Linked DNA regions of Arabidopsis thaliana. The protein of the gene in region 2 interacts with the protein of the main gene of each other region in a pairwise test. Each region holds a gene or a part of one and is shown on either strand. Other genes may lie near its edges.

Region 1 (4,142 bases), on a different chromosome or scaffold from region 2:
CCTGTGCTCAGTCTGAGCAAGTGCAGAAAGCGGCCACTGCTTTCCAGAAACAGAATACTGAAGCAGAAGCTATTATGTCTACGCCATTGTCAAACTCCACAACTGTAACAATAGAGAATGATAAATCCTTGGAAGAACTGAAAACTCCACTACTGGTACCCAGCAGCAGTAACAAGCAGGAGACGAACTCAAGAGGGAGTAGCAGAGAGGTTTCTGCTGTTCAGTCACCATCTAGGTCTGTAGCTTCAAGCGAAGAAGATGATTCAAGGGGGAAAAAACAGGGAAGAAGAGCAAGAATGTTGGATCTTGGGAAGAAAATGGGGGAGAAATTGGAGGAGAAGAGGCGTCACATGGAGGAGAAGAGTAGACAGATTGTTGAAAAGATGAGAGGACCTTCTTAACATGAGAAGGAAGAAGCTTTTGCAGGTTTCAGATGCAAAAACTGATTTATAGAAACAGAGGAAGTTAGGCATTGTTACATATGTACAGAGATGTGAGAGAAAGCCATAGATGTCCCCATATTTATCCGATCATTGAAAATCTTTATTATTCTGTAAGATATACAATACAAGAAAACAGATTTTGGTGTGGACTCAATTATACATAGGAAATGGCAGGAAAACAAAACAAGTAAAGAGACAAACAACACAAGCAAACACAGAGACTATTTATACAAAGAGAGAACCCTCTACATGAAGACTGCTCCGGTCTAGTAATCTTCCGGAGCCAATGGTTGGTGGGTACTGTGGTGAGGAGGTTCGTTCACGCTGGGGATGATCATGTACTCATAGATCAGTGCGGCGAGTGCACCACCAATGAACGGTCCAACCCAATAGATCCAATGGTTACTCCACCTCCATCCCACTAATGCTGGACCAAAGGCTCTAGCCGGATTCATAGAGGCTCCATCGAAAGGTCCTCCCACCAAAATGTTTGCCCCAACTATGAGCCCGATGGCTAGTGGCGCTATGATCCCAATACTCCCCCTCTTTGGATCGATTGCGGTCGAGTAGACAACATAAACCAAAGCAAATGTAAGTATGATCTCCATCAGTAGCCCATGAAGCTCACTAACTCCTGATGCTACATGGAAACCTACTGGTCTCTGCATCACAGAGAATCACATTCATTCATGAGCATATATTTACAGAGATATATACAAAGTTCTTGGTTCAACACAAAACTGTACCAAAAAGACAATAGTAATATATAGAGATTGATGAGAAGTAATATACCAAGCCATTAGTGGCAAGCCTCAACAAGAGACAAGCGAGGATAGCACCTATAAGCTGAGCAACCCAATAGTAGATAGCTCGAATGACCGAGATCCTGCCTCCGATTAGAGCAGCAAAAGTGACAGCGGGGTTGACGTGGCCACCAGAGACATTGATGGCTGCAGAAACAGCCGCGAACAAGGCCAATGCATGAGCTAACGCCACCAGAACTAACCCTCCAGGCGTGTTTGTCCCCGTGTGAGCCGCCGTGTCCCAATACAACTTGTCTGTCCAATAACACATATAACATAGTTCATATCACACATGCATGCATGATTATGCATAGTTCCAACGATAACATTCACTATAACTAAATTCAAAGGAAGTCTTATATATTCATTCCTTATTAAAACAAATTCTAAAATTGATTATATAAATAAGTTTGTGTAGGAGCTATACTACTAGAGTACTAGTGTTTGTTTTGACTAATACTCTCTCAAGTAAAGATGCTAACAGTATATAGCTGAAAATGTATATATTTTTGGGGGGATATTCCCTATGACCCTATGTATGTATAAACTACTAACCTAGAGCGAGGATTGAGCCTTCTCCAGCAAAGACGAAGACGAACGTGGAAAGAAACTCAGCCAAAGTGGCTCTAATGGAGTCCGGGTGAGTCGCCTCGTCAGCTCTCCCGAATCCATATGCTCTTCTAGCAGATGTAGCCATATATAACCCTAATTTAAGTGAGAGGATCAAACCTTAATGGATAAAGAAGAAGGAAGAAAAGGCAAGAGAAGAAGACTTGAAGAGAGAGAGCTTAAAAGAAGCAAAGTGGAAGCAATTAGGAGACAGATGTGATATGAGAGTGTCTGAAGCTGAACACGTGGATCCTGTTCGTGTCTATCTATTCCTTGATCTTACCTGATCATTCAATCTGGACAGTTCCTTTATTAAGATTCAATATATACATAACAATGGTACTGTGTAAATGTGTATGTATACTACTATCCATGCTGTGACTATATATCTATGCATGTGTGCCAAGTGGATCAAGTCACAATTCTCTGAATCTTGATCCGGTTTCTGTTTTCCTCGTCATTTATTTTGTCTTTCCATGTGAGATCGTAGAGTCAAAATATCGATCCCATGATATTTATTACAAGTTTTTGGTAAGAACGAATATTATGAAAGAAAAAAAAGAGAGACTAAAACTTGCTTTAGTTTGATAATTTAAGACAGATTCAATCTAAGAACTTGTTATAAATATTTCACTTTTGTTGATTACAAAGAACGAGATTCTACATCATTAGATTTTATTTTAGAACAGAAAATATATAACCTAAGAATATTTACGTTTTGAGCACATAAACTAGATATCATTAGATTATTTATAAAGTGAAAAGCTACTAATTAAAACGCAAATGAATTTTAATAAGATATTTATTAATCTAACATTTTAAACTGTTACAAATAACTCCAACACTACGTACGAAAACACTAATCATTCCACTTATCATTGTTATAATAAGTTGCTTCATTTAATTTATCTTGGAGCCAATGCTTTGATGGCCATTTTTAAACCGGTGGTACAATCCTCGGGAGTATATGTTCCGATGAAATAATTATAACCGTAATTAAGCTGGATCTTATCGTCTCCGGACGAATATTCTATCGCTCCAACGTTCGCTTCACAAGTTTCATAACCAGTTCGGTTTACCACAATCAAATTAAATCTCTGATAATCGTATTTGAATTCTGCAATGTATCACCATGAATATACCAATATAAATTTATTGTCTTAGCAGATTAAAGTTAAGCCAATATTAAAGTATGATGGATATGGTTTATCAATCACACTACCGTACCAAGATTTTTTTTAAGATCATTGATACATACCGAGAATATCACCAGCATAAAAGGTTTTGCCTCGTGCCCAAGTGTCCATCGGAACAACCGGATCCCAACCATCGTCGCCTCCCACAATGTAGGTGGTCGGTCTCCGGGCATAGGTCACGGCGTTGGCTAGAAACAAGCACAACACTGTCATGACAATAGCTATTGGAACCGTAACCGCCACATAAGAAACGTGTCCAGATGATTGAGCCATTTGTGTTAATAGGTCAAAGGTTTTAGTTTTGTGAATTGTTCAACACCTAATTATTAATATATATATATATATATAGACTATTCTTGAATTTGAAAAAGATCAATACATTTCCATGCAATGTATACCTGGTTATGGAAGAGCTTTTTGGTCAATGGGTGCATGGTTTTAATTTGGTGAACTAGTAATAAGACTTTATATATACGTATGACTATTTTTATCAGTTGCCAGAAATAGAAACAAATTCAATAAATTCGTAGATTTCCTTTTGAATTGACTTGATTGAGTCATGCTAGCTTGCGGTTATGGAAGAAATGTAAATATTGAAAATGATAGTGTTGTCATATCATCATATGAATGAATATCATATTATATAGTACACCTTGTATATTTTTGAAAAAAATAATTCTAGATAGAGATAATACGAATTGGTTTGCAGTTAGACGTCACGTAAAAGGAACATTTACGAAGTACTACTAACGCATAAACGGAGAAGGCATCGAGTCGTACATTTAAACCAAATGGATCGGAGGATTTAATAGAGGAGCTTTGGTCCAAAGGGCTAGTCGAAACAGAGGATGTAGTTCTTTGGAGAGGTAAAGATGATCGATTTCAGGCCACATTCAACACCAAAGACACATGGGAAGCAACACGGGAGCAAAAACCAAATAAGGAAGGTATGAAGGTATCTGGTTCTCGCACGCCACACCAAAATACTCTTTTAATTTCTAATTTGGCTAATAACTCATAACCGTTTAACTACAAGAGATAGATTGTTTACTTGGAATGTAAGGATTAATACCTCGTGTGTGTTTTGTCAA
Region 2 (5,188 bases):
TTATTATTTGTACTATTTAGGTTAAACAATTGATGGAGGGAGAGATGGGGAAGACAACGATGAAGAATGTAAAAGAGTATGCGAAAATGGCGAAAAAAGCTATGGCTCAAGGGACTGGTTCGTCTTGGAAGAGTTTGGATTCGCTTCTGGAAGAGCTTTGTAAGAGTAGAGAGCCAGACGGTGTTAATAAGTTGTCAAGTTCTGATGCTTAGAGAGATTAAGGATTGGATAACAAAACGGCTTCGTACCTAATTTTAGTCATTAAATATGTTAGGTTTGTTGAAAAGTTGGTCCATTCTTCTCAATTGGATATGAATGACTAATTTGGAGTTCTAATTCTTGGTTTTGGTCTTATAGTTTCAAAAAATTTCAATTGCATTCAGTGGTTGCTTTATGAGATTTTTGCTATCTTTGAGGTTAATATTGGCTGGTCAATCCGAAGAAGCTATCAACACCTTAGTGTTCTTCTGAAAGACTTAAAAATGAGTTTGTATGCAAAAGTAGTATCTACTATGAGAAGAAATCAGACTATATAACATTGAGACAGTTTAAGAACAATGTATTTTTACTCTACACTCGTTTTCTATATCTAACATCCTCAAACCGAAACGAAAAGAAAAGAAAAATTACAAGTTGAAATAATTAAGGGAGTTTCCTAACTATTTACCATCTAAAACCAAACAGTTCACACAAAAGTTTTTTGCCCATAATGACTACACTTTAAACGTCTTCTTTATCTATAGAGAAATCAGGCTCATCTGGTTTGAATAGTTGAGGCATCTTCAAACTGGTGGAAGATCCATCTTTCTTACCAGTACTACTACTTGAAGCCTTTTGATTTGTTCCTCTTCTCGTGTTCGCCGCAAATTTAGATGCTAAGATCGTTGCTCCCAGATTTGTGTTGTCCATTGATCCGCCTTCCTCGTCACTTCCATAGTAATACTCTCTAGTTTCTTCGTCTTCTTCATTGTAACCTGTTTCATCCGGGTAATAGTATCCGCTACTCTCGTGAAGGCTGAGCTCTTTCGCAAGCTTTCTTCGCTTGTATCTTCTCCATGCAGATTGGACAAAACATGCTCCCCATGCTCTCCATTGATGTGAGTAGTACCTGAAAGCGTGTTGAAGCTTTTTGCTTTGAAGACGTTTGAACTGATGAGCAACAAACTTAAGATCCTCTGCGCTTAATGCAAAGGCTTCTACTTCAGAGAGGGCACGGACGCTTCGTGTTGAAGACGGAAGATTGAGTGTAGAGTTTGGCATTAAGGCCCATGTAAGAAGTTCTTCCCCACAGAAATCGCCAGGTCGTAGAGTAGTGGAGTTGAAGAAACCAGATCTTCCTCCATTTGTTGTTGAGCTCTCTATTTGTCCTCGGATCACAAATAGCATCTCATTCACCGGATCACCTTCACGGAATATGTATGTCCCGGCCGTGCTTAAAGATGAGACAAGGCATCCGCATATAGCATCAAGAAGTTGATCATCCATTTGAGAGAAGAACGGGACCTGCACTTACCACAACAATGTGACTTCTGAATTGAAAAACAATCAAATCCATAACAGTTTTTGATGACTGAGTTGATGTATGTACCCGGCGAACAAGGGAGAGACAAAGATGACGTTGGATTTCACGGCGTAAATCTGTAGGTAATGAATGGAGGATTGATTCTTCATCGACACCTCTGGTTGCAAGCCATTTGTATTGGACAAATCTTCGGACACGTTCTTGAAGCTCTGGAGGTAGTTGACGATGTCTCATCCATTCTTCAGTGTCTCTTCTCTTAACTCTCCATTCCTCAACTCTTACTGACATCGATTGCAGAGAAGACTTTCCACCAAATTAAAAATCATGAAGTCTATTGTTAGAAAGACAAAAAAATGTCTCTGTATTGAAAAGTTTTGCAGAGTGATGCATAAGCTCTGAATCTTACTTGCATGTTACCAATCAGGAGTGTGAAGAGAATCAACCCAAAAATACAAATTGTTATACAGAACAAGGTCTCGCCAAGGTATACACTTGTGGTTATATTCTGTCCATAAGAACTGTGAAACAAAACCTTTATTAAAACCAAAGGAGGACAATTTAAGCAGATACTGGTTAGATAAAAGGTTGTCATACCTTAGATTTCTTAAACCCCACCAAAGACAATACAAGTACTTGGACACAAAATCTGTTGTAGCAACTTGAGTGGTAAAGGCTTCAGCAAACATTCCGAATTTGAAATTGGTAGTGCTGCTTGTAGCATCACAATGAGAAAGGACCTGAGTAACGTTCTGCCAATACTGGCGCTCTGGTTGTTCTAAACTCTTGCAATCCAAGAAGCTAGGAAGACAATCCAAAACTCTCAAAGCGTTGTCTTTCTTGCATACGTTGGACCAGCACGAAAACTGCCGCCCGATTGATGACAGATACCACATTGCTCCTAACACCTGCCCACAAATAGAGATTCTTAGCAACTTAAAACTGAAGAAACCTAAAGATTTGAAAAAACACACAAGATAAAGAAAACTTACGTGACTAGCAAGGATGTACAATAGGAGGTTGTATGCAGCTCCTGCCCAAGCAGTCTTGGCGATAAACCCGGTTGTTTTGATAATCCTTTGGTTGAGTGGGAATATGATGAATGATCTTGGAATGTATTGAACAAGAACGATAAGTGCGAGAGTGCTATTGGCATGATTAGCAGTTCCATTTGTGGCCGCTGGAATTACTAGCCAAATAACAAGCTGAGATCAAAAGATAGTCAGAAACAAAGCATGAGGCTCCCAAAATATCTCTGTTCTTTAATCTTCTAGCTACCGCCTAACGATTTTTGAACATTGATCTTAGCTAATCGTAATCCATATCATTGCTTTCACATTCAAAATAAGAGCAAAATCTTAAGAACCTGAGGAAGGGGAAGCATGGCGGCGACATCAATGAGGAAATCTGTCTTCAAGTATCTCATAGCAATCTCTCTAGAATCCATAACAAGCTCACCGCGACCAAAAACACGAGAACTCCTCGCGACGAACGCAGTTCTGAATTTCATGAAAATGTGCAAGAGGTGGAAGATATCGGCGACTGTACGGAAGAAAGTGACAGTAGCGGCGAGGCTGATGTCGATGGAGAGACACGCCGGACCACCGACGTAAGGGACGTAGAAATAGAAAGGATCGAGGAAGAGAGCGAGGATTGAGGTAATGAGAAAGACGTGGTTCCAATAGGTGACGATGTTGCTGTCCGGGTCCAGGATCTGATGCCGCCATAGGACGCTGAATTGGCTACCGTCAGATCCTCGATTTGAGGCGGCGGTGGAGGCGGAGGTTATGGTCTCCGGGAGGAGGCAGCGGAGAGACCGGATTTTATTCATCTTCCATGGCGGATTCCGGTGTTAAATCGGATTCCGCATTAACACAGAGAGAGATTGAGATTGATGGACAGAGAGGCTAGGTGGTTGCGTCGTGTGATTTTTTGTTTTTTTGGGTTTTTGCATTTTGTTTTTGATGATTATGGAAGAAGGAGAGGATTTCTCGCGGGAAAACTGAGAGAAGGGCCATGGAAATAGGGGGAAGGGTAGTTTTTGAAAATATGATGGGAGAATGAGGGTATTTACGGAATGTTATAGTTGCGGGTCTCGTTTGTTTATGCTGTTTTTGTGTTCTCAAAACAGCACACGTTTTGCATCTCAAAACTTCAATCGACACAATATCTACTGTTCTTAGTTGTTGGACCCACCGGCCCAATAGTTATAGATCGGCCCAATAGTTATTTTTTTCTACTTTTTTTCTATGAAAATCAAAGGGATATATACTATATATGCTTTAGGATTTTAAAATTACACATTATAATGTATACAATTGCTATGATCATTTCTATTGATAAACTAATAATGTTTTTAGTAGTTTTAACTTAAAGTCCGGTTTAATATTGTTTAGTTCAATTGTTCAAAGAATAAAAAAAAAAATTATAATTAATTCGTAAAACCATGATAAGATTAGTTAAAATATCTAATTCGTTATGAGGTTCATTAGAATTTATTTAAGTGAATTATTGAAGTTTTATGAGCTACATTTATTATATTTTGTCAACACATTAAACCCGTAATTCAATTATACTGTCTTTTGTAGTATTTCCGTTTTTGACATCAGTTTAACAAATTGTCTTACATAATTCATTTGTTGTTGTTATGTACTATTAAAAGTATATAGAAGCACGCGTACCAAACATTCTGTGACAATATGTGGTAGTGGGAAGATAGTGTACATGCTTGTTGACACCATCCATAAGATAGTGTACCTATAAAATAACAAAAAGGGAATAGAAATCCTTAGAAACAATTATGCGAATATAAAAGGGATAATAAGAAGTGAGAATAATAAAATGAATACTGAAATTAAAAATTACGTCACGGAAAAATGATGTTTATCCACACAAAAAGAACAACAACTTCCATCATATCATATAGAGGGACATACTAACTTTTCCACTTCCAAAAAATCACACTTATGCGTAATTGTTTTCTCTAACAATAATGACGTATTTTAGTCCTTCAAATTTTAGTACTCCATCATTTTCCGATTAGACACAAAGTAGTAATTTCAATATAAAAAATTAATAACAAGCTTTTATAAATGATTATGATAACTTATACTAACATATGTGACAATATTGTTTTCTCTATGCTTGTTAAACGTAATTAAGAAACAATGATGTTAATTACTCCAACTAATTCATGGATCTAGAAATACGATGTTGGTTAAACATTATTATCGACTAATTTATTACTTCGTTAATGGCTGCTATTAAGTATGACCACGTGTGGCAGATTTGAGATGTTTAGCGATCTTTAAATATAGAATCCGACGGGATCCAATTCTCCTCTTTTTTTTTTATTCCACTTTGCCACTGTGATTATATAATAAGTATGATTAATTAAGAGATTTACATTCTATTGATTTACTTTATTATTTTATTCATGTGGAGTAGACTATACGACAACTACTTTATCGTTACTTTTTAATTTTATTTTTTAGTGAAAATTTGCTAGTCAAGTTTAGAAAATTCAAAATAGCATTTCACTTTTATATGCACGATTGATTTCGTTGCTTATATTAAGATAAGGAAAACAAATGTTACTCTTCCTAAAAAAATTGTTCTTTGAGAATACAATTTACGTGTTCCTCTTTTCAATAAAGTCGCTGGTGTTTA

The links.
Region 1: the proteins of CNGC18 (region 2) and BETA-TIP interact in a protein complementation assay, tested with the Arabidopsis thaliana proteins (one large-scale study listed by BioGRID).

Annotation. Positions count from the first base shown.
Region 1 is NC_003070.9:6,128,010-6,132,151, reverse strand, and holds BETA-TIP (beta-tonoplast intrinsic protein), read right to left. Parts: upstream 2,128-4,142; 5' UTR 1,944-2,127; coding exon 1,802-1,943; intron 1,502-1,801; coding exon 1,236-1,501; intron 1,106-1,235; coding exon 710-1,105; 3' UTR 525-709; downstream 1-524. Other genes in the region: AT1G17820 (testis-expressed sequence 2-like protein (DUF2404)), read left to right, coding at 1-401; ENODL22 (early nodulin-like protein 22), read right to left, coding at 2,761-2,972, 3,114-3,324. UniProt on the Arabidopsis thaliana protein: Aquaporins facilitate the transport of water and small neutral solutes across cell membranes.
Region 2 is NC_003076.8:4,807,548-4,812,735, forward strand, and holds CNGC18 (cyclic nucleotide-gated channel 18), read right to left. Parts: upstream 3,547-5,188; 5' UTR 3,351-3,546; coding exon 2,886-3,350; intron 2,725-2,885; coding exon 2,512-2,724; intron 2,428-2,511; coding exon 2,117-2,427; intron 2,041-2,116; coding exon 1,929-2,040; intron 1,826-1,928; coding exon 1,589-1,825; intron 1,504-1,588; coding exon 721-1,503; 3' UTR 544-720; downstream 1-543. Other genes in the region: AT5G14860 (UDP-Glycosyltransferase superfamily protein), read left to right, coding at 21-212. UniProt on the Arabidopsis thaliana protein: Cyclic nucleotide-gated ion channel required for directional pollen tube growth into the transmitting tract. Acts as a Ca(2+)-permeable divalent cation-selective channel inhibited by either lanthanum or gadolinium.